Drosophila melanogaster: one gene and its partners. The protein of the gene in region 3 binds, or shares a complex with, the protein of the main gene of each other region. Each region holds a gene or a part of one and is shown on either strand. Other genes may lie near its edges. The genes, in order: Nfs1, bcn92, IscU and fh.

The links.
Region 1: IscU (region 3) and Nfs1 share a complex: the UniProt entries of both Drosophila melanogaster proteins name them as parts of the mitochondrial core iron-sulfur cluster (ISC) assembly complex.
Region 2: IscU (region 3) and bcn92 share a complex: the UniProt entries of both Drosophila melanogaster proteins name them as parts of the mitochondrial core iron-sulfur cluster (ISC) assembly complex.
Region 4: IscU (region 3) and fh share a complex: the UniProt entries of both Drosophila melanogaster proteins name them as parts of the mitochondrial core iron-sulfur cluster (ISC) assembly complex.

What each region holds. Positions count from the first base shown.
Region 1 is NT_033779.5:11,995,437-12,003,440, forward strand, and holds Nfs1 (Nfs1 cysteine desulfurase), read left to right. Parts: upstream 1-4,217; 5' UTR 4,218-4,288; coding exon 4,289-4,418; intron 4,419-4,476; coding exon 4,477-5,735; 3' UTR 5,736-5,808; downstream 5,809-8,004. Other genes in the region: Qtzl (quetzalcoatl), read left to right, coding at 378-507, 566-807; Ada1-1 (transcriptional adaptor 1-1), read left to right, coding at 1,468-2,267, 2,332-2,458; Hacd1 (3-hydroxyacyl-CoA dehydratase 1), read right to left, coding at 5,978-6,715. UniProt on the Drosophila melanogaster protein: Catalyzes the removal of elemental sulfur from cysteine to produce alanine. It supplies the inorganic sulfur for iron-sulfur (Fe-S) clusters.
Region 2 is NC_004354.4:2,145,091-2,152,801, forward strand, and holds bcn92 (bcn92), read right to left. Parts: upstream 4,558-7,711; 5' UTR 4,392-4,557; coding exon 4,312-4,391; intron 4,252-4,311; coding exon 4,131-4,251; intron 3,754-4,130; coding exon 3,676-3,753; 3' UTR 3,373-3,675; downstream 1-3,372. Other genes in the region: Pgd (phosphogluconate dehydrogenase), read left to right, coding at 317-324, 400-623, 2,085-3,298; wapl (wings apart-like), read right to left, coding at 5,787-6,062, 6,182-6,372, 6,433-6,521, 6,587-6,756, 6,827-7,669. UniProt on the Drosophila melanogaster protein: Stabilizing factor of the core iron-sulfur cluster (ISC) assembly complex that regulates the stability and cysteine desulfurase activity of Nfs1 and participates in the [2Fe-2S] clusters assembly on the scaffolding protein IscU.
Region 3 is NT_033777.3:8,819,447-8,827,313, reverse strand, and holds IscU (Iron-sulfur cluster assembly enzyme), read left to right. Parts: upstream 1-3,136; 5' UTR 3,137-3,242; coding exon 3,243-3,329; intron 3,330-3,512; coding exon 3,513-3,890; 3' UTR 3,891-4,053; intron 4,054-4,244; 3' UTR 4,245-4,465; downstream 4,466-7,867. Other genes in the region: CG8379 (uncharacterized protein), read right to left, coding at 217-671, 726-1,681, 1,906-2,362, 2,425-2,626, 2,706-2,759; CG8369 (uncharacterized protein), read right to left, coding at 4,532-4,590, 4,648-4,845, 5,189-5,216. UniProt on the Drosophila melanogaster protein: Scaffold protein for the de novo synthesis of iron-sulfur (Fe-S) clusters within mitochondria, which is required for maturation of both mitochondrial and cytoplasmic [2Fe-2S] and [4Fe-4S] proteins.
Region 4 is NC_004354.4:9,143,294-9,151,014, reverse strand, and holds fh (frataxin), read left to right. Parts: upstream 1-1,943; 5' UTR 1,944-2,002; coding exon 2,003-2,320; intron 2,321-2,389; coding exon 2,390-2,644; 3' UTR 2,645-2,935; downstream 2,936-7,721. Other genes in the region: Bap111 (brahma associated protein 111kD), read right to left, coding at 1-1,592; CG7065 (uncharacterized protein), read right to left, coding at 3,392-5,007, 6,068-7,721. UniProt on the Drosophila melanogaster protein: Promotes the biosynthesis of heme as well as the assembly and repair of iron-sulfur clusters by delivering Fe(2+) to proteins involved in these pathways.

The DNA of each region.
Region 1 (8,004 bases), on a different chromosome or scaffold from region 3:
TTATGGCTCACTGAGAAAAATATACCGTGCCTATGCGCGCAATTTCGTGAATTCGTAACTTAAGTTCGCTGAATGATTAAGATAATTTTGTAAGCAAACATATTTAAGATGAAAACTGGTTTTTGAAAATATAGTTCCTTGTAAATTATACATTAAGTGCGAATATATCTGAAAAATATTGGTTTCTTGCACAGATGCTATTCATTTTTCATATGTTCAAAGAAATTCAGAAACTTGCTTCTGCATAATCGAATCAGATAATTTTAAAGTGAATTCCGGAGTCCTTTGGTATATCTCGTGCCGCCGAATACGGTCCCACTGATTGTGAAATCCGTGATAACGAATTTTAACACCAGAATTTCTAGGATTCCATCAGAATGCAAAAAGTGCTGGGACGCATCCAGGCGCAGGTCCTCCGCTCCCGGGCGACGAATGCATTAGCCAATGTGGTTAGACACGAGGCCACCTCCTCCAGGACAGCGGCTAAACCAGCCGCCACATCCAAAGGTAAGCGGATCCTCCAAGATGCACAGTTACCGCTTACCAAAATCGTATTCGTTCGTAGAATTCCGGGAGAGACAGGTGCGATTCAACATAAAGAACGAACAGACCGAGGGTAGACCACTTTACCTGGATGCCCAGGCCACCACTCCAATGGACCCACGTGTATTGGACGCTATGCTCCCCTATCTGACCAATTTCTACGGAAATCTGGTTCGTACGCTTCGCCTTCAACGCCTGGCAAAAGATTCTGGCCTTGGGCAATCAACTGGGCACAACATTTGTCTGGGAATTGGACTGCAATGATCCCAATTTAACAAAGTGTAGCCAGCTGGTTCATCCCAAAAGCAACTCCACCATCCGACAGACTTCCTTCTCCAAAGACGGTTCCATTTTAGTTTGCGTGTGCGACGACAGCACCGTGTGGCGATGGGATCGCGTCAATTAGGATGAGTGTTTCTAGGCTAAAAGAATTTTCCTTATCCTTCTAAATCCGATACCATATTTATGTAACCATAGTTATTTTCAGTGTAATGTTTACCTTCAATATTAAGTATGTTCTTATGCGTAGCATTTATATACAATACTCATTGTATTGACAATTTATGTTAAATTATGTTAAATTTTTTAACATTAACCAAGATATTTATTCTATTCTATTACTTTTTTAATGATCAAATAGCTTCGCAAATATTATCATCTTATGTTGTGTGAATGGCGTGGGCTCTATCTTTAATGTTTATATTTTAACTAACTAACTTGTACACAATAAAAACTGTGAACACTAAAGATTAAAACCAATATTTTTTTAAAGGGTTCTTCAAAAATAACGGTTTTTATCTCAAATGTATCTGGTATTTTCAGCCGTTCTTTGAACGGTCACTCGAATCAGCTGCATTCATTTGTTTATATAGCAATTCGCAAACAGTTGGATTTTCCTGTTTAGTTGTTATTCCCAATACTAAAATGCTTACCGACAGAGTTCTGGCCACCAAGGAGGCGCTAGTGGTGGCTCTGGGCGACAACTGGGAGCGTTACCGGGCCAACATGAAGAATTGGTTTCGGAGCCGTTGGACTAAGGAGGAATTCGATGCGGAGTCGCGGAAAATCCTAACACCTGACAAACTGCACCTGCACAATCAGTTCCTGCTCGCCCTGCTCAACAAGATCGACGCCTTTGCTCCCCTGGAGAATCCTCCGGCCGTCCAGACCAGCAGCAGTAGTGGCAACCGAAGCAAACGGCGCAAAAGAAGTTGCCGCACCTTCGCCGAACGCCTTAATTTTGAGCTCAGCGACGTCCTGGACTTTGTAGCCGAGGACAACATGCAAATCATTCGTCCGCCAACCACGATCGGTATTCCGTCGGACCAGCAACAGCAACAGCTTCAGTCGCAGCGGTACTGCGCGCAGGAACTTTTCCTGCCCGACGCGGGATTCATTATGGGACGATTTCTGATCGGTGCCTGGGAAATCGGACTTGTCTCCGTGGACGACAATGTCGCCGAGTACGTTGCCATGGCCGTGCAAGTTCTGCTCAAGGATCTACTATCGGCAATCATCAAGAAACGAAAGCACTACAAGACCAGCGGCGAGGGAAACTTTTACTACGATGTAGGTGCTCCGTTGCGTGATCCTTCGCTGCGCAACACCGTCACCCGGCAGAAGGTCGACGACACGCCGCTGGAACTGGACAAGGAACTGAATACGGCCAACTTTATGCGGCGACAGAACGACGATGTGACCTTCCTCTCCGCCTGCGAAGAAGTGTAAGCTCCTGAATAATAATGAGATTTTCATGTGAAACACAAACTTAGGTTTTGTTTCTTTCAGCCAACCCACCGAACGCACAGTAATCACCCTCAAGGACTGCCAACTGGCCTTACGGGATCGCAACCTGATAGGCTCGCATGCCGTCTACTCCATAAACATGGAACGACTCAATATGATGATGCATTAGCTTATAAGTTCTAATTATTTTATTATATCAGCTTCTGTAAAAATATATACATTATACGCTAGTGTACCATTAAGTGTTTGGTTCAGCAAAGATTCCGTGGAGGCGGTTTGAATGGCAAGGCACCTGGTAGAAATTGATCCGCCTTGAATGCTTCGATTTCCTGCTCGTTGAGATCCTCCATGCGACTGTAAACTGAGGACTGGATTTCGTTGGTCGGTTGAGCTTGCTGCTGCTGCTGCTGCTGCATCATTTGCTGTTGCTGTTGCATTTGAAATTGTTGTTGCTGCTGCATTTGTTGCTATTGCATCTGCTGCTGCTGATGCATTTGTTGCTGTTGCATCTGTTGCTGCTGCTGCATCTGTTGCTGCTGCTGCATCTGTTGTTGATTAGGGAATGCAGATGCTGCTGCTTGAGCAAATAATCCGGAGGCAGCTGCCTGCTGCTGCTGTTGTAGTTGCTGAGAAGCCTGAGTAAACATTCCGCCCATATTTTGGCTTGCGGCTTGGCCAAAGATTCCCGTCGACTGCGGTTGCTGCTGCTGCTGTTGGAAACCACCGAAAGGATTAGGATTCACTGGCTGAGCTTGCACCTGAACCTGCGCCTGGGCGAAAATGTTGCCCCCTTGGAAAGCTTGTGCAGCAGGCTGCAGCTGTTGCTGCTGTGGCTGTCCAAAGACACTTTGTGCACCTGTTGCCGCAGCTCCTACACCAAAAATGCTATTCCTTGCATTGGCATTGCTAATCGTTCCGCCGAAAATGCTATTGGTGTTGCTGGCTTGGCTTGTGGCATTCCCAAATATATTTCCCGCACTCAGCGTGGGCTTTCCAAAAATGGATGCAGATGTATTGGCGGCAGCCGGAGCTGCTGCAGCGAAGGGATTACTGGACTGCTGAGGGGCAGCCGACACAGTGCCGCCCTCCGGCGTCTCGTGGATCTTGATCATCATTTCCAGGACCTGCGGCGACATCTGAAGCATGGTCTTCATCTTGTTGTTAGCCTCTAGGACCTCACGGTTAAACTGTTGGCTGAACTGTTCGAATTGGTTTTGTCGTTTGGCCTCGTAACACATGAACCGCACCTCCTCGAAGGATTGGTCCTGAATAAAGTTGGGGAAATTCGCTTTGTCCTTAAAGGGTCCGTAGGCGGACAAAGGCCACATCTTGCCATTGAGGCTGGATTCCATGTCGGCTTTGAGATATTGCCTAAAATAATTAAGTTATTAGTTCATCTGCATAGTTTTAATATCAATGTACTCACTTAACATCGAAATGCTCGTTGTTGCACTTTGCGCCATAGCGGCAGGAGCCTTGTTGAAAGAACCGGCAGACAACCATATTTAAATTTGATTTTAATTTTTGCCTATTTCCTATATTTATTATTTCAAAACTGCTTCAACTTTTGTACTTTTGTTTATAATTGTCTTACTTTGCGTATTGAGTATTCTTTGAGTATTTTATGGCTCACTGAGAAAAATATACCGTGCCTATGCGCGCAATTTCGTGAATTCGTAACTTAAGTTCGCTGAATGATTAAGATAATTTTGTAAGCAAACATATTTAAGATGAAAACTGGTTTTTGAAAATATAGTTCCTTGTAAATTATACATTAAGTGCGAATATATCTGAAAAATATTGGTTTCTTGCACAGATGCTATTCATTTTTCATATGTTCAAAGAAATTCAGAAACTTGCTTCTGCATAATCGAATCAGATAATTTTAAAGTGAATTCCGGAGTCCTTTGGTATATCTCGTGCCGCCGAATACGGTCCCACTGATTGTGAAATCCGTGATAACGAATTTTAACACCAGAATTTCTAGGATTCCATCAGAATGCAAAAAGTGCTGGGACGCATCCAGGCGCAGGTCCTCCGCTCCCGGGCGACGAATGCATTAGCCAATGTGGTTAGACACGAGGCCACCTCCTCCAGGACAGCGGCTAAACCAGCCGCCACATCCAAAGGTAAGCGGATCCTCCAAGATGCACAGTTACCGCTTACCAAAATCGTATTCGTTCGTAGAATTCCGGGAGAGACAGGTGCGATTCAACATAAAGAACGAACAGACCGAGGGTAGACCACTTTACCTGGATGCCCAGGCCACCACTCCAATGGACCCACGTGTATTGGACGCTATGCTCCCCTATCTGACCAATTTCTACGGAAATCCCCACTCCCGTACCCACGCCTACGGTTGGGAAACAGAGTCCGCTGTAGAAAAGGCCCGCGAGCAGGTGGCCACCCTGATTGGCGCCGATCCCAAGGAGATCATCTTCACATCCGGCGCCACCGAGTCGAATAATATCGCAGTAAAGGGTGTTGCCCGTTTCTACGGCACTAAGAAGCGACACGTGATCACCACCCAGACGGAGCACAAGTGCGTGCTGGACTCTTGTCGTGCTTTAGAGAACGAGGGCTTTAAAGTCACGTACCTGCCAGTGCTGGCCAACGGACTCATCGACCTCCAGCAACTGGAGGAAACCATCACATCGGAGACCTCGCTGGTGTCCATTATGACGGTGAATAACGAAATCGGCGTACGGCAACCCGTCGATGAGATTGGCAAACTGTGCCGGTCTCGCCGAGTATTCTTTCACACGGATGCCGCTCAGGCGGTGGGAAAGGTCCCGCTGGACGTTAACGCCATGAACATTGACCTGATGTCTATATCCGGCCACAAAATCTACGGCCCAAAGGGTGTAGGCGCCCTGTATGTCCGACGAAGGCCGAGGGTTCGCCTCGAGCCCATCCAAAGTGGCGGCGGCCAGGAGCGTGGCCTAAGGAGCGGAACGGTTCCAGCCCCGCTCGCCGTGGGATTGGGAGCTGCTGCGGAACTTTCTTTGCGTGAGATGGACTACGACAAGAAATGGGTGGACTTTCTATCCAATCGCCTGCTGGACAGGATTTCAAGTGCCTTGCCGCATGTCATCAGGAATGGTGATGCCAAAGCCACATACAATGGTTGCCTGAATTTGTCGTTTGCCTATGTCGAGGGCGAGTCACTACTGATGGCTCTTAAGGACGTGGCCCTGAGCAGTGGGTCCGCCTGCACCTCCGCCTCCCTGGAGCCCTCCTATGTTCTGCGTGCCATCGGCACCGACGAGGATCTTGCCCACAGCTCCATACGCTTTGGCATCGGGCGCTTTACCACCGTCGAGGAGGTGGACTACACCGCCGATAAGTGCATCAAGCATGTGGAGCGACTGCGCGAGATGTCGCCGCTGTGGGAGATGGTCCAAGAGGGCATCGACCTAAAGACCATCCAATGGTCGCAGCATTAATGTACTAATATTTAAGCCGTTACTGTTACACCACACTTTGAAAGCGAAGGGAAAATAAATTTGTTGGAAGAGTATCTAGGTTTATTTGTACACAAAACCACTTATAACTAAGCTTAGTCCGAACGAATGTGCTTGTGTAAGAGGTGAGGCAAGAGAGACCCCAAAAAGCGAAAACGGCTCAAAGTGCGACGGCCAATGATATGCAAATGATGCAATAATTTGCATTCGCCGCTGGTCAAGGTTCAGTTGGCCTTCTTCTGGGGTGAGCCGCTGGATCCACCGCCCAGGATCTTACGGCGCTGGGCGAACATGTGCAAGTACAACTGCGGGAAGATGGGGATGTAGCCGAGCATGACGATCCACAGGAATCCAAAATACGAGAAGGTGGCGTTCCACTTGTTGGGCATCACCACACTCCACACGCTGTTCTCACGGGCATAGCTCTGGGCCCACCAGAAGCACAGCAGCTCCCCAGTCACGCCGATGGGATACAGGACAATGAATGTGGTGTAGCGCAGGAACACCACAAAATGCGGCACCACCTTGACGATGTTCAGAGCGTAATATCCATATCGGATGATCTCAGTGATGGCCCAGGCCAGCAGGGCGATGGGCAGACCGGGTGAAACCTTTCCAGTAGGCGTGGCCATCACCACGCCGACGACCACCATCATGCGGCTGAACACCTGGAAGCCAGTGACCACCGGGTTCGACTTGACCAATCCAAAAGAAGCATTGAGTATCTCCACGAACGCGGCATTCTGGAAGATGATCACGGCCAGCCGAGTATACTCCCACAACGTCACCTGGGCACGGAACTCCGGACCCTGCAATATGTAGTAGTTGACCAGCTGCCACAGGATGTAGCTCCATCCGACCACCTGGCCGGCGTTGTACGCAAACAGGTACAATTTAGTGACCGCCGACGGCTCCTTGGAAGCGCCTGGTTTGCTGGACTTGGACACTGCCTTTGCTGACATGTTGGAGCGGAGATGTGTGAACTTTCACCTTGCCGATCGCCGCTGGTTAACTAATCAGTCGTCACAGTCTTATCGCCCTGTAGCGCGATAATTCCGAAGTCGCTTTCACCTGATTGGGTCAGTATGACCGCACGGCGACCACACAAAAAATACCAAAAAAAAGGGCTAAGAAATATATATAACTATTAAATACCCTTCCATATAATATCTTTTATAAATAAAAACGCTTTGATATCGAAAATTGTTCATTTAATCATTTGTAAATTAATAATCATTTAATTAAAATTTCTTGATATAAAATTTCATTCGCCTTTATTTTCTCTGAATTTTGTTTTTTGCTATTCACAATTTTTCCAACGAGTATAAATAAAAGATGAACTTCATTCTTTCAAAGTCAACGGGTACAAAGTGCATAGCCTTATAACCTTTCCTCTATTCACAGATCGCAAATCTAAGTTAACAATGCCACAACCATTAGGCATGCTTAGCAATTAAGTCGTTTTTATGTGCAAAGTTATTTCACTTAAGTTAAGTTAAGTCTCAAAACGTTAAAATTCTTTGAAAACTATGATTTTAAATCCTATCAACTTACTTTAAAGCTGAATTACCGTTTCTTATGTTAGTACAAATTAAAGTAAATAAACTAAATAATAACACAATTTATATTTCTTCGAAAATATTCTTAGTATCATTAGTAAAACTATAATAATTTTTAATTATAGTAAAAATTAATACCTATCATATATATTCTTTCTTTAATGTATAGTAAAGCATGGTTAAGAACAATGGATAATGGGTGGTTATGAGCCGACATATAAAAATTTATCGCTAACGACAAGGTGGAGAAATCAATTTTTTTGATAAGAACTAGCCCATTGTACGCTTTGCATTTCTAACCACATTTCGCTTAAAGCAGCCCACTGTAGGCGGCAGCTGACGTTTCCCAGCGAACGACGGCTGGTTTGCGCGATGAGCCAGCAAGGCAGCTAAACTTTCTGGTCGCCTGGTGGAAACCGAACCGAAAACCGAACGTGTCTGAAAAAGTCCGCCACCACCACGGACCGGTGCACGTCCCCACCTGCCAAGTCGCGTGTGTGTGGTGTTGCCTGTGGACCGACCCCAGCTCTCCATTAATGGGCAGCCGGAGCGAATCGCTTGTCGCCGTTGTCGAAATTCGCAGCTCGTTCGCAATCGGAATTGGAACTTTTGTTCCGAAAGCAAAAGGCCGCTAGGCCGGACGGCACAACACGGCACGTGCTGCTGCACACGATTTGTTTTATGTGGGCGGA
Region 2 (7,711 bases), on a different chromosome or scaffold from region 3:
AACACTATCTTTGCATTTACTGTTACACTACGAAGCACTATATTTAGTAGCAGTACTCATTAGAGTCCACTCACAAAATTAGCACCAACCGGCAGTAATTGGTCAAGGATCGGCGATAGCTTCAAACTCCGAAGTTCAAAGTCAAACTGCCGCCCTGCGAAAGCTTCGCGAGTGGAGCTTTTCTGCACTTATCGATAGCTAACATTGTGGCGCGACTATCGATCGACGAGCTGCCGCTTAACAGTGCCATATATAGATTGTAACATTAGAAGCTCAAATCATTGTTGGAGCACAAACCACAAAGAACACACGAAACATGAGCGGGTGAGTAGAGGGAAATTCTCTTTTCCCCGGAGTTTTCCGCGATCCTAACGTCGCCCATTTCCGGATTTCTTCCAGACAAGCGGATATTGCCCTCATCGGCCTGGCCGTCATGGGCCAAAACCTGATACTCAACATGGACGAGAAGGGATTCGTGGTGTGCGCCTACAACCGCACGGTGGCCAAGGTCAAGGAGTTCCTCGCCAATGAGGCTAAGGACACCAAAGTGATTGGAGCCGACTCGCTCGAGGACATGGTCTCCAAGCTGAAGAGCCCCCGGAAGGTCATGCTGCTGGTCAAGGGTGAGTTGCATATCCAAATTCAGCGGCTGGGTAGCGCAGAGCATCGAAAACCCATTGAAACCTGCTGCAAGCGATCGCTGTGTTGGTGACTCAACTTACATGTGTGCGCGCGTGCTTGTGAATTGGTGAAAAAGTCGAAGCAAAGTAATCATGATGACGATTTTTGCGGCTCATATTCCAATGTGCAAAGGGGAACGAGATAGGATAAGCAGGTGGAAGTAGGAAGAGGAGGGAGCGCGAGAAAACGGTGAAGGGGTGGAGTAAACACAAAAAACAACTGTTTAGAGATCATTGAGCTGCGGCCTTAACCACTAAGTCTGGGTTAGGAGTTCTTTTTGTACAAATGATAGGGATGGCATTTCGTAGGTTTTGTATGCGATAGTTTTGACTTGAAAACTAGACAGAATTCAAAGCTCTTTATAGGATTCGAAACTTAAGCATTGTAGCTCTTTTAAAACCGGACTTCTGATAAAAGGTTTATAAATGGATCAGTCCCATTTCGAAAACCGTAACCACAAGTGTGGCGTGAGTTTTGTCTAATCACATAGTTGTGGTAAGCTGCCTCCACTTACCTAAACCATCGAGCGAACCCATCAGGTGATTTCCAGGTCACTCACGCGTTCGTCTACCACTCTCGCGTGTCCGAAACTCTGCTCACCTCTAGATCGGCGTGCCCGGCTTATCTGTTCGTGCGAAAGCAACAACAACGCGGCGCAGAGAGAAATCTTTGACATTCATAATAGGTCACACAAAATGGGCGATTTTCAGGTGGATTTACTCGGATTTGACCAGCCGAAAAACCTACATATTCCTCTTCTGCGAGTTGCCAGGCCAGTGAGTCATTTCGTCTGGAGACTGCTCCTTAGAAGAATACAGTGCGGGTCAATAACATATGTACATAGCTCTGGAGGTTTTTGTGCTGAACATATGTAGATTTGAAAGTTGCGTGACAGGTTGTGCGAATCCCACATTCACAGGGTGGGTGGGAGTAAGGACAAAGGTTATTGATTATCAGTGTAGTTAAGTTATCAAGGATGACGACACAAAAAGCTAGTTGGTCATTGAACAGAGCGAGTCCAACAATCTTGACCGCTAGTGTGCCCCACAAACCACCACCAACGACCGCTAGATAGATAGATCAATGGTAGTATCGCCACGACTCGTTGGCCTTATCTGGGTCCACTGCGCTGGAGAACTGCTCACCCGGCGCTAGGGACGCCTCGCCACCAGGGTGACCTCCAAAACAGTGACTTTCCAAAAGCAACCAACCGACCTTGTCCAATCGCACGCTCTACTTTCTGGCTAAATCGAAGATTTCTTTACGTTAAAAGAACTGGCGCTAGCTAAGAACGCTTTGGAAAATGAGTCTACGATAGTTGAGCTTTTGAGAACCCCGATGAGGAATTCGATCTGCTTTAATCGACTTTACGCTAATCAGATGTAATCTCGATACAATTTCAGCTGGAAGTGCAGTCGACGACTTCATCCAGCAGCTGGTGCCGCTGCTTTCCGCCGGCGATGTGATCATCGATGGTGGCAACTCGGAGTATCAGGACACATCTCGCCGCTGCGACGAGTTAGCCAAACTTGGCCTGCTCTTCGTCGGATCCGGCGTGAGCGGTGGCGAGGAGGGCGCCCGCCACGGACCCTCGCTGATGCCCGGCGGACACGAGGCCGCGTGGCCCCTTATCCAACCCATCTTCCAGGCGATCTGCGCCAAGGCCGACGGTGAACCCTGCTGCGAGTGGGTGGGCGATGGAGGCGCCGGTCACTTCGTCAAGATGGTGCACAACGGCATCGAATACGGTGACATGCAGCTGATCTGCGAGGCGTACCACATCATGCAGAGCCTGGGACTGTCGGCTGACCAGATGGCAGACGAGTTCGGCAAGTGGAACTCGGCCGAACTGGACTCCTTCCTCATTGAAATCACGCGTGATATTCTTAAGTACAAGGACGGCAAAGGTTATCTGCTGGAGCGGATTCGCGATACCGCCGGCCAGAAGGGCACGGGCAAGTGGACGGCAATCGCTGCTCTGCAGTATGGAGTGCCTGTGACGCTAATTGGCGAGGCGGTCTTCTCGCGATGCCTGTCTGCCCTGAAGGACGAGCGCGTCCAGGCCAGCAGCGTGCTGAAGGGACCCTCGACCAAGGCGCAAGTGGCCAACCTCACCAAGTTCCTCGACGACATCAAGCACGCTCTCTACTGCGCCAAGATCGTGTCCTACGCCCAGGGATTCATGCTCATGCGAGAGGCGGCCAGGGAGAACAAGTGGAGACTTAATTACGGCGGCATTGCGCTGATGTGGCGCGGCGGCTGCATCATCCGCAGCGTCTTTCTGGGCAACATTAAGGACGCGTATACGTCGCAGCCGGAGCTGTCTAATCTGCTGCTGGACGACTTCTTCAAGAAGGCCATCGAGCGCGGCCAGGACTCGTGGCGCGAGGTGGTGGCCAATGCCTTCCGCTGGGGCATTCCCGTGCCGGCCCTGTCTACCGCCCTAAGCTTCTACGACGGCTACCGCACGGCCAAGCTGCCAGCCAACTTGCTGCAGGCCCAGAGGGATTACTTCGGCGCCCACACCTATGAGCTGCTGGGCCAGGAGGGTCAGTTCCACCACACGAACTGGACAGGCACCGGCGGCAATGTGTCCGCCAGCACCTACCAGGCGTAGGTTCCACCTGCTCCACTTTCCCGTTCACACATTCCATGTCATTGGCGCCGGTGTCTTAGATGTTTCTTTTTTTTCTGGAGTACTTTAGTACTTATTTATACCATTAATATATATGTATGTATATAGAATTTCATAATTGTTGTTAAACATAACATTAAATTGGTGTTTTTTTGCTAGCAAATGATTTTGATTCCTTAGTTTCATGAATGCAAGTGCCATTTAAAATCAACAATGCGTGTGGTTTGGTGTGTTGTGTTGTGTGTGGGTCGAGTCTTTCGAGTTGTGTCTTCATCTGGAGACGCCTCCTGCTCCTTCTACCGCTCCTTCCCTGCTATTGTACTCTCTTCAGCTAGCGCGTTTTTCGCTCCGTATTTCCCTTAGTCGTCCGAGGGCTTCAGGGTCTTCTTGTTCTCTATAACCAGTTTGTCAGCGGAATACAGGTGGCCGATGATTACCTGTGGACATTCAAAGGTTAATAAACTCAACCGGCTGATAAGCGAAAAAGGGGCAAAATGGTTACTTTCGATTTCTAATAGGATGGTAATTGAGTTTTCCATTCCCCATATTTGCAAAATCAGATATATATGATAAAATCTACTTTAAATATACATTAATATTTTTAATCTTTAAATTGATTGTCTTTGATAAGGGAAGTAGTAGTTGATAGTAGTATTTTTATACCACTAATTATTTGAGTTCCTAACAACTTGGTAAATAAACGACGGCTCTTTTTGGATGCGCTGTGATCTCGAAGACGGAATGCCTTACGTTATCTGGATACTTTCAAGCATTGCTGATAAGGGAGAGGGGTGAAATCCGACGAACCACTCACCTGGCGACGTATCAGCTCCAGATTCTGTTGGCCCTCGGCCATTTGGCGATCGATCTCCGCGAAGTCCCTGGTGCTCCTGTTGGCGCGGAATGTGTCGCGTATTTTTCGGGCAGCGTACATTCTGAAATCCGGAATAGATTGCTCATCACTCGCGGCGGCCTTTCAATTTCACAACACCTACCTGAAGTTGTACGAGGGCAGCTTCTCCGATTCGCGCAGGAGATTCCTGTATAACGTGATCGCCTGGCGACGGGTCGACATCCTGGTCTTGATCCTGGCCGAATGGAACTGAATGGCGGGCGGGCTGGTGGATTAAAGTGCTGTTTAATTGATGAGTGCTTTGTTTTGACCCTGGTTTCTTGTTTCGGTGCGGCAACTGCCAATTGACCGCCTGATGACATAAAAATTACATGCGGAAAGCCGGAAAATACTGACTTTTCCGCTGCAAAATACCAGAAACAGCTGACTGCATTCACTGTGGTGTCACGTGCGTGAGTCTTAGAGATGACACTGCGTCGTGCGGAAATCATCGCAACTGAATAAAAAAACTATTTTTGTGATACTAAATATTATTGCAAAAAGTAAGAAATAAATTGAGTTCATAGTGCAGAAAAATAATTTATTAAGAATCCGAAATATTTAGAGGTAAATATTAAAATAAAAACCAAATTAACCTGCTCCCATTATACAAAATAAGACAACTGCCGCATTTTTTCAATTTTAGTTTTAATTCTGTTTGTTTTTTCCGCAAGAACAATATATTATGTACTCGTTGAAAACACAAAATAAATATATATATTTTGTTCCCGAAATTGTTTCTTTCTTGCACGCGCGCTTGCTTTTTAAATCTGACTTTTGTAGCCTAAAAATGACATTTTTAGTGGTTGTAAACGTACACATATATCCATATACATATATATATTTATTTATCAGTGTTAGTTTTATAAGTAGAGTTTCTTTAGCTTACGTTTAGGCAATAAAATAACTTTATTTCCCACATCTAATCTAGAATTTTCCTCTCTAACTCTCTCTTTACACATGTCTATCGCTCTCGCTCTTTCTGCTGCAGCGTTTTTGCTAAGAGCGCTTGTTTTACAATCAATAAAAAAAAGGTTTAATATATAAAGTATGAATAGGTAAAAAAAAAACACATTCGAAATAAACCTAAGACGCGTCCGATAAAATCGCTGATTAAAGAATATTTACATGGGTGTGTGCTTTCGAGGGTAAGCCGACATTTAGCTGCTAATATTGCTTATGACTATATAACGTACTCATATTAGTGGGGATTTGGATCTTTGTGTTGTTCGGGGTGTCGCTTTCGTTTCGTCAATCTTAATCATTTTCTTTAGTTAAAACGCAGACCATGCTCAGGAATTCGCTATCACTTTGGGTTAATACAAACGCAAAAACAGATCGCATTGTATCCTATCGCTCTTAGCTATATACTTCTATATATATATATATCTATATATATATAGCTGACTGAAACTAGGTGCATTACAGGCTATACACATACATGTAGTGATTGTTATATCAACACATAAACAAATTACATAATCACAAACAACAGAATTTTATTTTGGTGGCAGGCTTTCGGTGTGGTTAACGACAATTGCGATGGCTCTTCGATTCCGATTCAGATCCCAGGTCCGATTACCTGTGGCTGCTGTACGTTTTATAGACCCGCGGCGCCCTCGTCGTTCCTGTGGCCGATGTGGATGAGGGTGCGGAGCCAGAGCCGACCGTGGTCGAGCTTGTAGCAGCATGCGACGCGTCCGCTCCCACGGCCAAGACTTGCGCCGTCGTTTCCAGATTCAGAGGCAGGGGGTTGTCGTGCTCATCCGAGTGCTCGTAGATGTAGTCGCGCTTCTTAAAGTTGTCGATGATGCGCTTCGTGGACTTCATATGCGCCACAAAGGCTGCCTCCAACTATACAAATGGTGGAGAACGTTAACGAGTTAGAAGGTTGTGCAGTTTGATGGATTAAGGGTAAGATGGATTAAGCTATCGATCTGAACTGAAAATGTATGACATATTATGAGACTCACGCTGGATGTAAGGTTCATGAATGTGTGGTACTTCTCCAGCACTCCAATAATCTCCTTAAAGCTATTTCCTCGCAGCTGGCGGCGCACCACCGACTCGTACAACTCGTTGTCCGCTATCAGATTTCCCACCAGGATGGCCGCATAACTTCCCTTTAGCGTGTGCTCCATGTGGTGGCCGGCTCGTTGCACAACTGTCAAAACCGCCCGGCAATTAGCATAGGTCACAGATCATCAAACCGCTAAATACTCACGATTGTTGACTGTCTCCTCCACTTCTTCTTGTTTCTTCTTTCCCTTCTCGTTGCTCTCGAGGAAGGCGTCCGTGTTCTTTTCCACCAATCTGCGGGCGTGAAACATAATATAAAGCAATGCGACAATGTGACTAGAATTGTTAATGTGTCCTACCTAGCCAGCTCCTCGCACTTGTAGAAGTACTCAAGCAGAGCTTGCAGTGCACTCACAGATCCCTGCGCTGGTGGATTATCCGCTACGTACTCTGCCGGAGCGGCAGCTTGCATTAGAGCAGCCCGGTTGGGCACAGTATGCATGCACAAATTGATTAGCAGTGTAAGAACCTGGAGAGGTGGGAATCAGTGTTTGAAATTGGTTACTTGTGAAGCGAAAAGATATAAATCTCACACTCACCAGTATGCTTAGCTCAAAGACACATTGGTCGGGAATGTAGTTGGCCGAGAGCAGCAGCAATCGGAAGCTCGTCTCCACCACATCGCCCCTTTGACCTAGCAGCTCGGCTCCCAACGATGGCTGCGCCTCGTTGAACGTGTGCGTCAGGTTGATCAGTACCTTGAGCACCGGCACCAGCAGCTCGCGCATAGCCACACCCGGATGCTCCTTGTTGCTGCCACCACCATCCGAAGGATGCAGCATTATTTGTCGGCTGCAAAGACGGTACAGTTGGCAAAGCGTCTCCACTGCTTTTCCCTGGCCAGAGGTGAGCATGTAGCGCTGGTTCGTCTCATTGTGCTGCGTCACGTTTTCGAGGACTCGCAGACAACGCGCCACCGTTTGCATGTTATCCAGCAGCGTCGGCTGCCAGTCAATCTCCGTGTCGCAGGCAATCACCGGTCTGCAGAAGTCCGAGATGGTCTTGATAATGTGCTCCAGGCCACCCAGCTTGCGCAGATCCTCTTTAAACCACTCGCCCGCGCGCTTGGATGTTAGCGATAGCAGCGTTTCCATTGCCAGCGTGCCCACAGTCAGAGAATCAACGTTGAGATGCGTTCCCTTGCCCTGCGCCTTGATCTCCTCGCACAACTCGCGCACCTTCTGCTTGTTGCGGTCGTAGCCCGCTCTATCCGGGTGCCCAGTCTCCGTGCTGCCACCCACGCCGTCCGCCTCCAGAAGGTTGATCATCAGCTCCAAGGAGTCGCGATCCAGGTCCATGTTGAGGCCCTCCTGGGAAAGAATGTACATGATGGCCGAGGTGCACAGGCCTAGGCTGAGGTCCTTGTTGGCGTCGGATAATGCCTACAGTTAAATAGTCAGTTAATTAACAAAGAGGTTGATACT
Region 3 (7,867 bases):
ATGGTTTATGACTTCGTAAGAGGTGATCTGGTTTGATTTTATATACACGTAATATTTATATATTTTGTATACTTGTGTAAAAAACTTGCACAGAATATGTTTTTGCTTTAAGTGCACTGTTTTAGCTATAAAAGTCTCGCAAAGCACTTTAAATCTTATAGATTACATCGAGTTTACGCATCCAGAGATTTGAATATTTAAAATATAATTACAAAACTAAGCAAAAGAAGGCAACGCTTTTGCTTCTGGCACTGCTGTTGCTGAAGCCGGAGTGGCTGTACCGGCCGAAACGGATGTCATAGAGGAACTGAGGAGAATTTCCTGGTCCGGAATAACAGATACTGCCTCCTTCACATAGCCGTAGATGTGCTTGCGCGTATCGTTGACAACATCGCGAACCATCAACTTAAAGAAGTTGGTGTGCAGCGGCGTTTCTGTGTAACGTTCGTATTGGTCCAGGGAGTCCTGCAGTTTGAGCGTTAGGTCGTAGTTCTTGCGCACCACGTCGAGTATCTGCTCCTCCGTGGGCGTAGAGAGGCCTTGTTCGGCCAGCCATTCCTTGATCTTGTTCTGAAAGTGCTTAACAATGGCCAGGATATTTACCAAAGCGTTTAAGAGCTTGATTACATCGTCTTTGTATTCGCAGTCCGGCATCGTTGTATAGCGAAGAACTAATTTGAAAATGATTAATTTTGTTTCTACAGATAGAATCTTAACAACCTTACCCATGGCATGTATTTCCGTAAATACCTTCTCCTCGCGGTTCAGTTCGTAGTAGAGCTCATCATAGCTATTTGTTGTGGCCAGGAAAGTATCACCGTACGTAATAAACAGATTAAATATATTCACCACCTGTAGCGACAGATGAAAAATGTTGCACTTTTTAACCAGCGTCTGTTCTTGGTTGACCAAGAACCGCAGAAGACCAATGAGAGCCGACCAAAGTTCCTTCCACGGATAATTGAGCCGCACTCTACATCTCTTTTGATAGCACAAGATTCGATGGATAACTCCAATGCAGAGCAGATACAGCTCCATCGGGAACTTTTTCATCAAATGCGATACAATGAACTCCACCAGGAGGTCCAGTAGAGTGGCAGCCAAAGGCTGGGACTTGCCCACCCGATCCACATTCAGCTTGCGATGACGCATCTGCGCCCGATGCAGCATGACTTTGAAGGTAAGATTGCTGTCGTGCATCATGGAGTTGGCGTACTGGTCCTCGGAAATGCAGGTGAGGATGAGGAAACACAGCTTCAGATTAGCAATGCTCGATTCGTTCTTATTGTCCTGCATCACGATGGAACAGTACTGAAATACGGCCACCAGCAGATTGGTGGGATACTGCGTAATGTCAATGATGGGTGCATTAGATAGATCCGGCACAGGTTGGGCCAGACTCAATGTGTTACTGGGCGAGGGCGGGGCACTGGACTCTGCCTGCGTGTGAGCCAGAGTTGTGATGAAGTTCCGATTCAGGTGCACTGCCTCGTAGAGGGCAAGTAGAAGGCCATTATTCGCCTTGATCTGCTGCACCCGTTCGCATCCTTCATCCGACACAAACATGTTGCCCACAATATTCGACAGCGACGAAAACCAGGAAGAGGATTGCACATTGTTAAGGCTCTGAATGTACTGGCGACAGAAATCAATTAGCGATTGCGATATCATTTGGCCATAGCTGGAATCAAGATAAAGTTCGGGTTACTATCGAAATAAGATATGCAAGCTCGTGGCAAGTTATCTGTTTGATGACGTCAGTCACCAACTGCTGCCACATAAAAGAACTTTGTGATTCAGTTTAAATATTTGATTACCCTCGATTATAAATTCTTTAAGCCAATTGCTTTCACATAAGTTGCCAGAAATATACATACATACATTACATTGACTAAATGGACTCACCCATTTAAAGCCAGCTCATCAGCGAGTATGGAGAGCTGCACCACATAGGGGTTAGTGGCTTCATGCTTGCGATAGTTGACCAGGATAGTAAGTAGGATAACGATGTCGTGTCCATGCTGGCTACGGAACGTAGGATCACTGAGTAGCCGAACAAAGGCGTCGAACATGCTGTGCATCATTAGATGCTCGAAGAGGGCGTTCTGGTTGACGTTATCCGTGCCCGTAACCAGAACCTGCAGCAGTTTGAGGCACATAAATCGAGCGTTTTCGGGCACATCGCCCAGGAGGATGCGATTGCAGTACTGCATGAGTAGCTTCAGCCATTCGTCCATCTTCTCATGGCCGAAGATCTCGTTTAGGATGTTTAATGTTGGTTCTGCGTTGGACTTCTTAAAGATCCCGTAGAACAGGGAGCACAGCGTGTGTAGGCTGTTGCACAGCCGCTTAGGATGATCTTCTGGGGGAAATCACGGATTATAGGTGGCTGGAGGTATATATTAATAGGTCAAACTGGTCTACCCGTGTCAAGCATTTCGATGCACCTCTGGAAGAGGGTGTTCAGGTTCGGTTTCACCAGCTGCAGCTGCTCGTTGTTGAGTTTGCCAATCTCATTCTCCAGCGCCTCGAAGTTCGGCTGCAGCAGGAAGAACTCGTTCCAAAATTCGGGACTCTCGCTGCTGGGATCCTCGCCCCGGCACAACAGCTCATATATATAGACCACCTGCAATAAATTCCAATTAGTCAAGCAAAGCACAAATCTTCGAGGGCGGAGCTCGTGAAATCCAGTGCTCCGGGCGAACCTTCTCCTTGGGCCGCTTGGTGGAGCCGCTGCCACTGCGCTTGCGAGAGGTCATGACTGGATGTGGATATTATTGACCTAGGGGACTAGTTTCAGAAACTCATAGTCTGCTGCTGTAAAAATATATCGGAAGTTGGCAGAATTTGTGGATGGGCAATAGTAAACTTTGTGATTGGGGAGTGACCATAGGAGTGAGTTTACAAAATACCTGGCAAGCTGCCAACTCAGAGTGTGATTTTAAATGCAAGAGGGTGCTTTATTCAAGCTTTTTTATGGCTCATTATTGATAAAAACAATTTATTACTTATAGTAAATAACTTATTATACTGAACTGTTTTTAAGGAGTAAATAATAATAATATAAGAAATCTTTTAAAAAATCGAAAACATATCGACAACGGCGTTAGCTGGTCTTTCACATCTGCCTTAAAACGGGCACACTGTCCATCAGCTGTTTCTAACACGCAGTTGCCTGTGTTTTTTCGATCTCTTTGAATTTCACAACAATTCTTCATTAAATTGATTTATTTAATTTAAATATGTCCCTGGTGCGAAACTCCTCCCGGTTGCTGCGATCGCAGCTGAAGCGCGTACAAAGTGTCCCGGTGGCATTGTATCATGAAAATGTAAGTTAGAACTCGCAATTGCCGCGCGGAAGGTTCTTTCGTAATATCTAGAAGCTGTATAATATAGATAAGAAACGACTTTGTTGTCGTTCTGAAAGACAGCGTTTCAGGCGGCACGCAAAGTGATAAGCGCGATAGCACAACCCCCTGGTGACTAACACACCTACCTATTTTCACCCACAGGTCGTTGAGCACTACGAAAACCCGCGCAACGTGGGATCTTTGGACAAGAAGGATGTCACTGTGGGCACCGGCTTGGTCGGAGCACCAGCCTGCGGCGATGTGATGAAACTGCAGATCAAGGTGGACGAGAACGGCAAGATAGTGGACGCCAAGTTCAAGACCTTCGGCTGTGGATCGGCCATTGCCAGCAGCTCCCTGGCCACCGAGTGGGTGAAGGGCAAGTCCATCGACGAGGCCGGAAAGCTGAAGAATACGGACATCGCCAAGGAGCTGCGTCTGCCGCCCGTCAAGCTGCATTGCTCCATGCTGGCCGAGGATGCCATCAAGGCGGCCCTGGCTGACTACAAGGTCAAGCAGCAGAAGAAGGTGGCCAACTGAGAGGCGGAACGGAATCTGTGAATGTAGTGGAGCGTTTCTCTGAACAACTACTAAAAAAAAAACAACTATAAGTACTCTACCATACAATACAATACCATATACTATATATTACTTGGCATTAGGTCGTAGTATGCGATTATTGTTCGCTAGAGCTCTGTGAGTGGTGAGTCAAATGGTATGGATACAGTGAATGGTGGTTAAGAGGAACTACATACATATTTTTTAATAATATGTATGACAATGCAAAATAATCCTCGTTTATTGCCTATTGGCTAGTTGCTCTTAACACACTTTTACTGAAATAATAACAATAATAATCATACCAACTGATTAATGCTTTGATTTTGATTGCAGATTGGCCGCGTGACTGCTGATAAGTGCATAGAAGTTTAGGAATCGTCTGTCATTGATACTAAAGGATAGCTGGAACTGATCTTGTATGAATGCATATGCACGTGTGTGTTTTGTAGGGGAATTCTAAGTAGTCCCGAGAGCTAATTAAATTTTCCGTTCTGTTATGCGAAATACAAGCTTGTGTCGAAAACAAATAAAGCGTTCCCGTTGGAATAAAAAATACATGAATATATTATTGCACAATCAGTGAAAGATGTTTAATCGTCAAAAGTGTTGAAATTGGACTTCTAGGACAGGCGAACGCTCACTCCACCGCCGCACTCGCCCTTGGACTTCTGCTCGAATGCTGCAAAAGGATTAAATCATATTTAATTCTGTAAGGATATTGTAGAGGATCTCTTACGATCGTCGGCATGCTGGCAGTTGTAGTTGGCCATGACGCACGGGCTGCCAAAGGTGAGGAGGCGCTCCTTGCTGCTGTTTTTGGCCTTGGCACAAACGGGCTCGTAGACTTCACCGCAGTTGTGCTGGCAACTGTTGGTGGCCGGCTTCTTGGTGTCCTTGGCCGGAGTAGCCAGGACGAATGCCAGCAAGCACAGTGCTAAATAAGTTTGGTCATGTTAAAATTCTTAAGCCCGCTCAATTATGTTTGTTTAAATGAAAACTAGATAAATATGTATTAGTACTTTATTTAATTTAATTGCATCACCGTTCGGAGCAAATTATATTTTTGTAGATCGGAATATAATTCTGTCCGTGAGATCATTCATTTGGGCTTTTGGTCTTAATGGATAGCCAATTATTTTTGCACTTTCCAATCATACAACAAATTGCTTCGTTTGATCCAAAATTGTATTTATAATTTTGTTTATTTTCGATCCCTAAACTAACTATACCCTTTGTATTTTTTATAGATGCTAATGGAAAGAGTTGTTTTTATGTACCTAGAAAAGCAAACAGAGCGAAACGCATTTTGAATAATAATCGAAATTTCCACGAAATCACAACTAGAATAAAAAAGATTTGACTTTCGCAAAAACCGGCTTCGAGTCGCGTTTGAAGTGAACTGAATTTTAGACTGCGAGATTGATCACCTTTATATACAAAGCCGGACTCATGAACAATAGAAAAGCAGCACAGACACAGCCGCAGAATATATGTATAAATGGGCAAACCGGCGACACATATAAGTAAGTGTGATAGGAATCGTATCTCTCACCTCAACCCACACAATCGCGGATCGGTGTGTATTAAAAACAAGCAAGTAAACATAAAGTGCACTTGTTTATATGGGTAACCCAACGGGGGATAACAATGGTGGGTCAACGAGATGATAATGACGATGCTGTCGCAGCAATTTGGATAGATAATGGGTTTGATCAGGCTGGATCTGAGCATGGGCGGGTTTTGAGTGACACGCGTCGCCGGTTGTAAGCGGTTCTCATCATCCTATTTTATTTTATTTATCCTCTTGACGGGGCATCCCACTATACCCCATTGTGTCAGATTTCTTGATGCATTGAATTTGTATAAGGTAATTACTTGTGTTATTCAGCTACTTCGGCTGATTTCAAAAGATATGTGCAACTGATCCTGTTCAATAAAATGTAATATCACATTTATCTTCTCTTTTAAAAAGATTGTGTAACACTAATTTATTTGCCAAAAACACAAAAATAGCAAGGGCGTTGAATTCAATTTGAGCTTCAACCATTAAAATTAAGACAGTAATCCGAATATGGAGAAGATGACATTCTTTAATTGATTCAATTTCGTGTTTAATGGCTTAATTTTTAATTGCAAACGTAATGCTCTCATTTTACGTGCACTTAATCTATTGAATTTACATGCACAATTTTTATTAACTATTCATATAATGATATACAAAAACAACCGCTTATGCGCCAAACTAAAACAAATTGAATATTTATTTACATAAGATAACTATAATCCGGATTTAGGCCGAAATCCATTCCAAAATGCCAGCTGTCGTATTATATTCAATTTCAAATTGCCGCGTACTTTGTTTTCTTATAACGGCAGATGTAACAACTCTAGTAGGTAGGTAGTAATCAAAAACAGGTAGATTTAATTTGTTTTACCAATATTGAACATTTGTTTCACGTGCAAGTCCCGAATCCACAACATTGACTATTTTGAGTAAAAACAATAGGTTGGTCATAAAAAATAATTACTAATTTACTAACCGCGGTCGCCGCATGTCTGAACAGGCCTCCAGCTTTTCCGGCTTGAGTATCCACTGATTCACCCGTGTCTCGAACCCAGAGTTGCCTAAACATATTTCGATGTATACATAAAGAGGGAAATTTATTTTTTAGGCTTGGCAATGCCGCTGCGGGCATATAAAAGTCCGCGCAGTCGTGCGCTTGTGTGAGTCATGGTGGAAAATTCGAGGCAAGCGTACCGATGCGCAAAGAACAAGCATAAGCGAAGAAGATAAAGATATCGATTAAAATTTCTGCTACAAAAATAAATATATATGTAACGCATATTGTAAATGTTCTAAGTTAAGTGACATAAATCAAATATTTGTGTAAAGTTTAATATTTTAATACGCGTCGAAGTACAACGAGTGAGGCTACAGAAGAGCACACACTAAAGTGGAGTACTTGGCGAGCGCAAATAACGGAAATCAAATTCGAAATAAACGCTGCGCAATAGACGGTGGTGTACATAAGAGTTTAACAAAATCCGAATCAGAATCAGTTGAAAGTGTGATTTTTTTGAGCCTTTGTCTGTAAGTGAAGAGAAAGCTTTAAGCGGAATTACATCTATATATATATATATAAATATATAAATACGAAGCCAGCCCGTCGCCATTTTGAAAGTGATTTTACAAAACACACACACACACATATATATACACAGCTGCGAACACATCCACATATAACCCCAAATAAAATCCGAAGAAAAGAGCAAAAAAAAAAACGCAAAACAAACCAATTTCCGCAACATTTTAAAGTGAAACATCCAAATCAAGGCAACTTTTAACCCAAACTCAACCCATTTTGTATATAACGCTTGTCGAAATATCGAAATCTGTATAACGAAGTGGCTGAGAAAACTGCGACACACACACGCACGCAAGCACACTCGTTGGTGTGAGGTCTACGGCAAAAAAGTAAGTCGCAATTGTGTTAGTAATCGCTGCGTGTGTATGTATGCGCGTGTGTGTGTTGATTCATTAATTCAGGTATTCTCGCAAAATAAATGTACATATGTATCTTTATATATACATGTGGGGTCGTCCCTCTGACGTCCCAAGTTTGCTTGAATAGCCAAACAAACACCTTTTGTTGACGTAAATAGCACACACAGTCTACACACAGTCACACGCTAAAACGATAATGCAGCCGTTACGTAGTTAGCACTACGTTACAGGTTGTTGCTACCTGGAAATGTAATCGTTACATGTCTTATTTCCCCTTTTCGGGTTCCCGTTTCTTATTATACACACACACACGCGGCCATCGAAATAGAACTGTTTTGTTTTACCTTTGGAACGTTACATTTCGTACTGAGGTAAAAAAGGTATTCTGTCGTATACTGACGTTTTTTCCATGTGTATATGTACATATTATCTTTCTTACTCAACCTAAATT
Region 4 (7,721 bases), on a different chromosome or scaffold from region 3:
CCGGGCGGTGGAGCTGGCCCGCCCTGTTGCTGCGGCAGTGGCACCTGTTGTGGCACCGGCGGTGGCGTTGGTGTCGTCGTCGTTGTTGTGGTCGCTGCAGTAGCTGCTCCGGCCGCTGGAGCCACCTCAGGCGGCGGTGTGGGTGTCGGCACCGGTGTGGGCACCTTGCCGGGCTGGGCCACCACTTTGGCGGGTTCCGTTTTGGGTGGCTCGACTAGCGTTGACTGCGGAGGCAGGGCAGCGGCCATCTCCAGCTTCTCTGGCTTGATGGGTGGCGGCGGAACCGATGGCTTCGGCGGTGGCTCAATGTCCATGGGCTCGGGATCCGTTTTGCTGGCAGTTTCGTGCACGTGCACCGCTGGCGCCGGCGTAGGCGTTGAACTCGGTGTGGGATTGAGTGTAGCGGGCTTCACAGCCGGCGGTGTCTCCTTGGGCGGAGCTGCTGGCGCTGGTACCGCCGACGCCGGCTCTTGGCCAGCGGGTGTGGCAGCGGGCTGACCTGGCTGCGTTGGCGGCTTCACTGCCTCCTCGCTCCTCGTCACTGGAGCGGCGGCAGCTGTAGCGGCAGCTGCAGCAGGATTCGCTGCGCTATTCGCATTCGCATTCGGTTCATCCAATCGCTGGCGATCGCGCTTGATGTCCTCGTACATGCGAAGCACCATCTTCTGGAAAGTTTCCTCGTCGACCGCCGGCTTGCAGTGGCGCTTTAGCTCCTCCTGGAAGGCTTCGCTGGACTCCACCATGCGCTGCTTCTTGGCCTCGAACTTCTCCTCCATCTGCTGCAGTTCCGCCTCAAGTTTGGTCTGGTGCATCGTCAACGAGCTGACCTGCCGCTTGAGCACCTGCATCCGCGTGGTGGTCACCACTGAACGCACATCTGGTACAACGGCCTCCGAGAATATCTCGTTAATCAGGCGATGGTTGTGCAGATAGCGGGCGTAGGCCAAGTGCTTGGTCGTATACCCTTCGTCCTGGTCATCCTCGTCCTCCGCCGGCTGAATGTCGATGCGTCGCTCATGCTGCGACTTACTGCCGCCACCGCGTGACGGTGTCTCATGCATATCCACGTCGGTCTTCACCTTGCTCTTGGCCGACATGTAGGCCTGATAGGCGGGCGTCTGGTGGTAGGCCTTTAGCGATTTCTCGTACTCCAGCTTCTCCGCCTCGTATTCGTCAATGAACTCCGTCTTCTCATCCTCGGGCAGCAACTTCCACATGGCACCGATCTTCTTACCCAGCTCCCACAGCTTCAGCTCTGGATGCTTCGCCTTGACGCTATCCCAGACGCGTTTCGAATACCGCATGTAGGGCAAAATGGGCTTCTCCGGCGGCTTTGGTGGCTTGGGTAGCCTTGATTCGTTCTGGTTCTTGCTGCTCGACGACTTGGTTACCTTCTGTGGCGTGAATGCCGGATTCCCATAGTTGCTGTGCGTGAAGATGGGCGTCTGATCCTTGTTGCGATCGCCACCACCTCCGCCGCCGGATGAACGCGACCGGCTGCCGCCGCCGGAGCCACCGCCGCCGCCCTGGAGTGGTGTGGCCGATCCCTGGCCGCCAACGGCTATCTGCTTGTAGTTGCTTGGCAGGGCCATCTTTGTGCAATTCGCTGGTCAAATTTGTATGGATTTTCCAAGAGAAATAACAATTTTCAGACAGACGCCATTTTCTGTCGGCGTTGGTGGAGGTGTGGCCGTATCTGATTCTAAGAAAAATCATATAAGCCGGGAATTGGTATATATAGCGGAATATATATGATAAGGAAATAGTAACTGCTAGAGAATATACAAAATTTTAGTTACCTAAAACTAGCAGAACACTTTAGCTGAATTGCTGCTACTAATAAAAAAAATCTGTAACTTCTCATTTTTATTCAGCTTTATAGAAATCAAAAATTATACCACACTAGAATCTAGAAAATACCAACGGCAAATCATTTTCCATTAAGTTGGCAGCCCCGCAACTGGGATTTGTAAAATATAAACAAATCGTAAACAACTAAAAAATGTTTGCCGGTCGTTTGATGGTCCGTTCGATCGTTGGTCGGGCATGCTTGGCCACCATGGGCAGGTGGTCAAAGCCCCAAGCACACGCCAGCCAAGTGATCCTGCCCAGCACACCAGCGATAGCCGCAGTTGCTATTCAATGCGAGGAATTCACTGCCAACCGGCGATTGTTTAGCAGTCAAATTGAGACGGAATCCACATTGGACGGCGCCACCTACGAGCGTGTGTGCTCCGACACCCTGGACGCACTGTGCGACTACTTCGAGGAGCTGACGGAGAACGCCTCCGAGCTGCAGGGCACGGATGTGGCTTACAGCGTAGGTGACATTCGGCTATTACATCATTCCATTGACCTGCTAATCCTCGCGGGGTTTCCGCTTCCACAGGATGGCGTGCTAACCGTGAACCTGGGAGGACAACACGGCACCTATGTGATCAACCGGCAGACGCCCAACAAGCAGATCTGGCTCAGTTCGCCCACCAGCGGTCCCAAGCGATACGATTTCGTCGGCACTGTGGCGGCGGGCAGATGGATCTACAAGCACAGTGGTCAGTCGCTGCACGAACTGTTGCAGCAGGAGATACCCGGCATACTGAAGTCACAGTCCGTGGACTTCCTACGCCTGCCCTACTGTAGTTAATTCCGTGATTAGTTTAAATTCTCCTCCATAAAAAGTCGGTTGAAACGTTCGATTTTGATATATTTATTGTTCTTCATCTGTTGGCACAGTGGTCACTCGATATACATGGAACTGCTGCTGCTGCGGATGAGCAAAGGTATATACTTATACTTCCCTGGAGCTGTGAAGCTTAGCTTCTGGTATAAATGCTTTGCATTCGCTTATTCATTTATGTACGATTAGTTTTGGTTTCGAAGTTTAAATTTGTTGTTTTTGAGAGGAATAAACTTAAAAATCAGTTGTTTAATGTATAAATCAAATAATAATAATCAAATCACCATTGAAGAACATCATATGTAGCTATACATATTTTATTTTATTTTATTATTTGTCACTTGTACGTTCCATTTCGTTTATTTTTATTTCAATACACAGAATTCAGAACTCAAAGCTCCCCCAGCTAATAATTCCAAACGAAAGTCGATTAAAGTTGATTTCCGGAATTATTGTGTATGTTTATTCACGTGCTCTTCAGATTTATGTTTTCTGAATTCTATTGTTGTTCGGTGTTTTATAAACAAATGAAGGTAGTGATTATTTTCTTTTCTTTTTTTTGGCAGCAGCACACATGTATGGTAAAAAAAAAAATAATAAAAATCACTTGCCAGCTAGCAGATACACGGGCACTTCAAAGGGCGTTATTCTCGTTTCTACATTACGTTTAAATTGCATAACGTTAATAGTATGGATATCTAAGTCTACGACACTCTAGTGACGTCCACCGAACATGTTGTTAAAGTGCGGCTGCTGCTGCTGCTGCTGCTGCTGGGCACCCATAAAGTTCTGGGGCATCTGGTTGAAGGGCGGCTGTGGCGGCACATTGCTGGCCCACGGATTAGGGGGCGGACCCACGTAGCCACCTGGACCTGGTGGCACCATGCCGCCGTAGTTCTGCTGCACGCCATTGCCCGCAAACGGATGATAGCCGCCGTAGCCCTGCTGATTTGGATAGTGATTGGCATTCGGTCCGCCGCTCAAGCCGCTCATCAGTGGCTGTGCCTCCTGGCCAAAGTTGCGGCCATGCTGCTGCTGCTGCTGCTGCTGCTGCTGTTGCCCTGGATAGCCCGCATTGGAATAGCCCGCTCCGGGCTGCTTTTGGCCAAGATTTTGGCCTGGATTCTGACCCAAATTCGGTGCATTCTGCGCATTTGGCGCTCCATGCTGCTGGTTCATCATATAGTTGCGATTGCCACCCACGGGTGAACCTCCAGAAGTGCCATTCTTGCTTAAAGTGCCCATTAGATTGGCTATGATGTTCTCGGTGTCTTTTAGCGAAATCTTGGTCGCTGCTGCTGGCTTGAAAGTGAGCGCATTTGGCGATGATTCAACGCCTATAATGGGCGGCACTCCTGGCTTATTGTGTACACCAGCACCAACGACACCACCACCACCACCAGCACTAGCACTTCCATTCGAATCGCAGGCCTTCATCACCAAATCATCAAAGTTGTAATCATCATCTTCCTCGTCATCGTCATCGAGCATGATACTGGGCGTGTTCCGGCCGCGTCTCTGCTTATTGATGGGCATACTGGACATATCACGATCCAAATTGGGGCGCTGAGCGCTCAGCATGGAGTGACCCACTTTCGGAGCCGTGGCACTGGCGGAGCTGGCGGCCATGGCGGAGGAGGTTCTACCACCCATAACCGAAGCCTTGAACTTGGTAGCCGGTTTCGCCTTGCTAGCCCCACCAATTTTCACCACGCGCGCCAGGAAATCACTGCAGGACTCGCCATCGCCTCGGAGCTCCACCAGATTCACATACTTGCGCAGACGATCGACGCGCGACGGATCCTGTACCTCCAACTTGCGCAGATGGCCAATGAGATGAACCTGCTCCTCGTTCGACAAAAACTTAAAGTTCTGGAGTAGGGTCTGGAGATCTGAATCTGTTAGCGATTCCAAGCCAGTGCTGCCACCGACTGTATCGGCGGCTTGTACCTTGGCCGGTGCTCCCGTAGGTTTATTCACAATATCGACGGACTCCTTGTGCAGCTGATGCTCCACCTCCTTCATCAGCTCGTCCAGATCGATGCCCATGTCATCGGGCGACGGATTATTTTGCAGTCCGAGCTTTACCTTTATCTCCTCGAATTTCAGGCCGTTGTTGTTGTCCAGCTGGCGCCGCTGTTTGTCCGTCTTCATCAGCAGCGTTAGCATGTGTAGCAAGTTGTTCATATCGCCGGTGGACACATTATTGTAGCCGTTGAGTACCAAAGCATTGGCCAATTTGGGCGCCACCAAATTGCGATCGAAGGGCAGCTGTATGGGCGCCGGATTGGCATTTGCCTTAACCTTGACATCGACGGCATCGTTGGTACCTAGAGATCATCCGGTTACGGGTGGTTTGGGGAGGGAACAACACAAAGAAATCAATCAGTTAGGATTAACAGGTGAGAGTGTGTTTCTGTTTCAGATCCCGGCAGATGGAGGATCGTTATCGCACGAAGCTACGCAAATTACATTTATACTTATGGATGGTGTGGATGGCGATTGGACAGCTCACGGTTGGTTTCTTTACACTTGATTCACACACCCAGCAAAAATAAGGGAAAGCTTACCGAAAAACGATTAGGAACGATATCACCAGCGATTCGACCAAAGAGTCTATCCAAATATACGATATAATTACTATATTATCATAAATACAACATAGAAGGAAGACCTTATGACCATTTATGTTTCTCATTGCAAGCAGGTCTTTTTAATATCAATTTAACCCTTTTTGAACCCAAAGTAAAGGTCTTAAAAATAGGTTTCTTAAATTCGAAAAATCCTACGAATTGCAGAGACAAGACCAGCAATTCAGAACACGCTTTATATATATATATGTATACTTATAATATTGTTTAAAATGGTAATAAAACACAGCGCTATTTTGTATTATTTCAAAAATACTCGCTCAGAAGATTTCGTTTATGTTTTAGTGAGAAAGAAGAAATGTGAAATGAGATTGTGATCCCAATTCATACAACAGCCAAAGTCAAAGATTCTTTATTTCATAAGGTGCTAAACTTAAAACGTAACTAAATGTTTAACCGCAGAGTTTAGTAGACTAAAGTGGGGAGTATCTAATGTACATATGTATATATTTCTTTATCACCAGCACATAAAAAAGGTTCCTTTCGAAAAAGGAGAATAGAAATATTTCGAATGAAGAATCTAAAGGTATTCCACCGAATGGCACAAAACTCACAATAAACTCTGCAACTTTGCATAAAAAGCCGTTGAAAACGCGCGAAAAACGAACGATTGTTCCGATGGGTAACCCTTTTTTTGATTTGATTTGTTTGGTTTACTTACCTCCTGATTTCTAACCGCGACCGCGAAAAAGAGCGAGAGAGACGGATACGGATTGAGCGGGTTTGGTGGTGGACTTACCTTTGAAGGTCGCCTGATAGATGATTTCGGCTATGTTCGTGATTAGTTTCTTGATCACGCGCACCTTTTGCGGATCGTCCAGTACCTCGGCAATGAGAATGCCCTTAAGCTTCTCCTTTGTGGTCTCGAGGAACACACAGTTGTCTTCGTTTCGCAGCAAATCTTCAGCTGCATTTGGCTTTACCAACTCCATGGCCAGTGCCTTGCTAAGCAAATTGAGCGCCTTGGGTCCCAGGCTGCCCAGATGCTCCTCGACGGCGGACAGCATGCGCAAGACACTAACGACAGTCAGTGGTCCCTCCTCAATGGGCTCCGATGCCTCCTTCTCCTTCTCCTTGTTGGACGAAGCGGTGGGCGAAATCGAGCTCGTCTTGGTCACTTTGTACTCGGGATATACGCGGGAATCCAGCACGCGGAACGTCTCCACAGACTCATAGCCGCGCGATGATCGAGCATAGCCCTCGTTGCGGTGATAGTACTCGGAAGAGCGTTCGCGCTCACGCTGCAAACTGTGACGACCACCGAAATCCCTGGACGACGAGCCGCGCTCTTTGGATGCTGGTTCACGACCACGACCGCGGCCACGATAGTGGGCCGGCGAGCGAGACCGGTGTCGCATGCTGCGCGAACGCGAGCGCGTAGATCCTCGATTATAGCTGCGACGCGGCGAACGACTGCGTGAGCGACGCACGGCACGACGTCCGCCGCGCTTGGGGGACAACGAACGAGAGATGGAGCGGCGTTTGTGGGAGTGACGACTACGAGATGGAGGACTATCAACATCATCATCGCTGATATCGATGACGGCGTCGGGTAGTTTGCTTGTCGCAACAATCGGACGATTGTTGCGAAAATTCGGCTTCGTTTTGCGACAATTGTCGGAATTGGTGGTGGCAGGCGCTCTACGCGGACTGGCCACACGGATCTTGTAGCGCTCCATTAGCTCCAAGGTCTTCTCTTCGTCCTCGTCGCCCAGCTTGAACTTCTCTTTGAGATCTTTCTTTATTTTATTCACCGCAATGTCGAACAGTACGATGCGACGATCTTTCCAGTAGCTAATCCACTCCGGCTTATAGTCGTATTGATTCGGATCGCATTTCTTCTCCTCCTGCAGCTGCTTGTAGCGTCGATTCCAGAACTGTTTCCACTCATCCGGATAATCGGGATGTTTCTCGGGATTTGATTCGTACATCTCTGTATCACTGCGCAGCTGCTTGAGCTGTATTTCCAGCATGCAACGGAACTTCTCCCACTTGTAGCGCTCCTGGGAAATTTTAGATGCCTGAATGGCCAGCTCCTTGGGCGTGGGCAAATGCTGCGTTTTGTTCACGCCACCTGCAGGTGGTGGCGATTGATTTTTACTACGCCCGCCGGCATCTTCCGACAGATTATTCTTCTGTCGCCCCTTTGGCACCGGGACAACCGAAGCTGTTGAACCGCCAAAGCTCTCATCATCACTGGATATGGCATCCAAGGCAATTATATTTCCATCATCATGCTGCTTGTTGCTATCCCCGGTTCCGTCGACGTTCTTCTTCATGCTGCTCTTGATGGACTCATCCGGTTTGAGTTCGCGGATCACGCGCTGAGCTTCTTCGGAAAAATCTGATCCGGCACACTCATCGAAATGAAAGCTATCCCGCACCTGACTGCA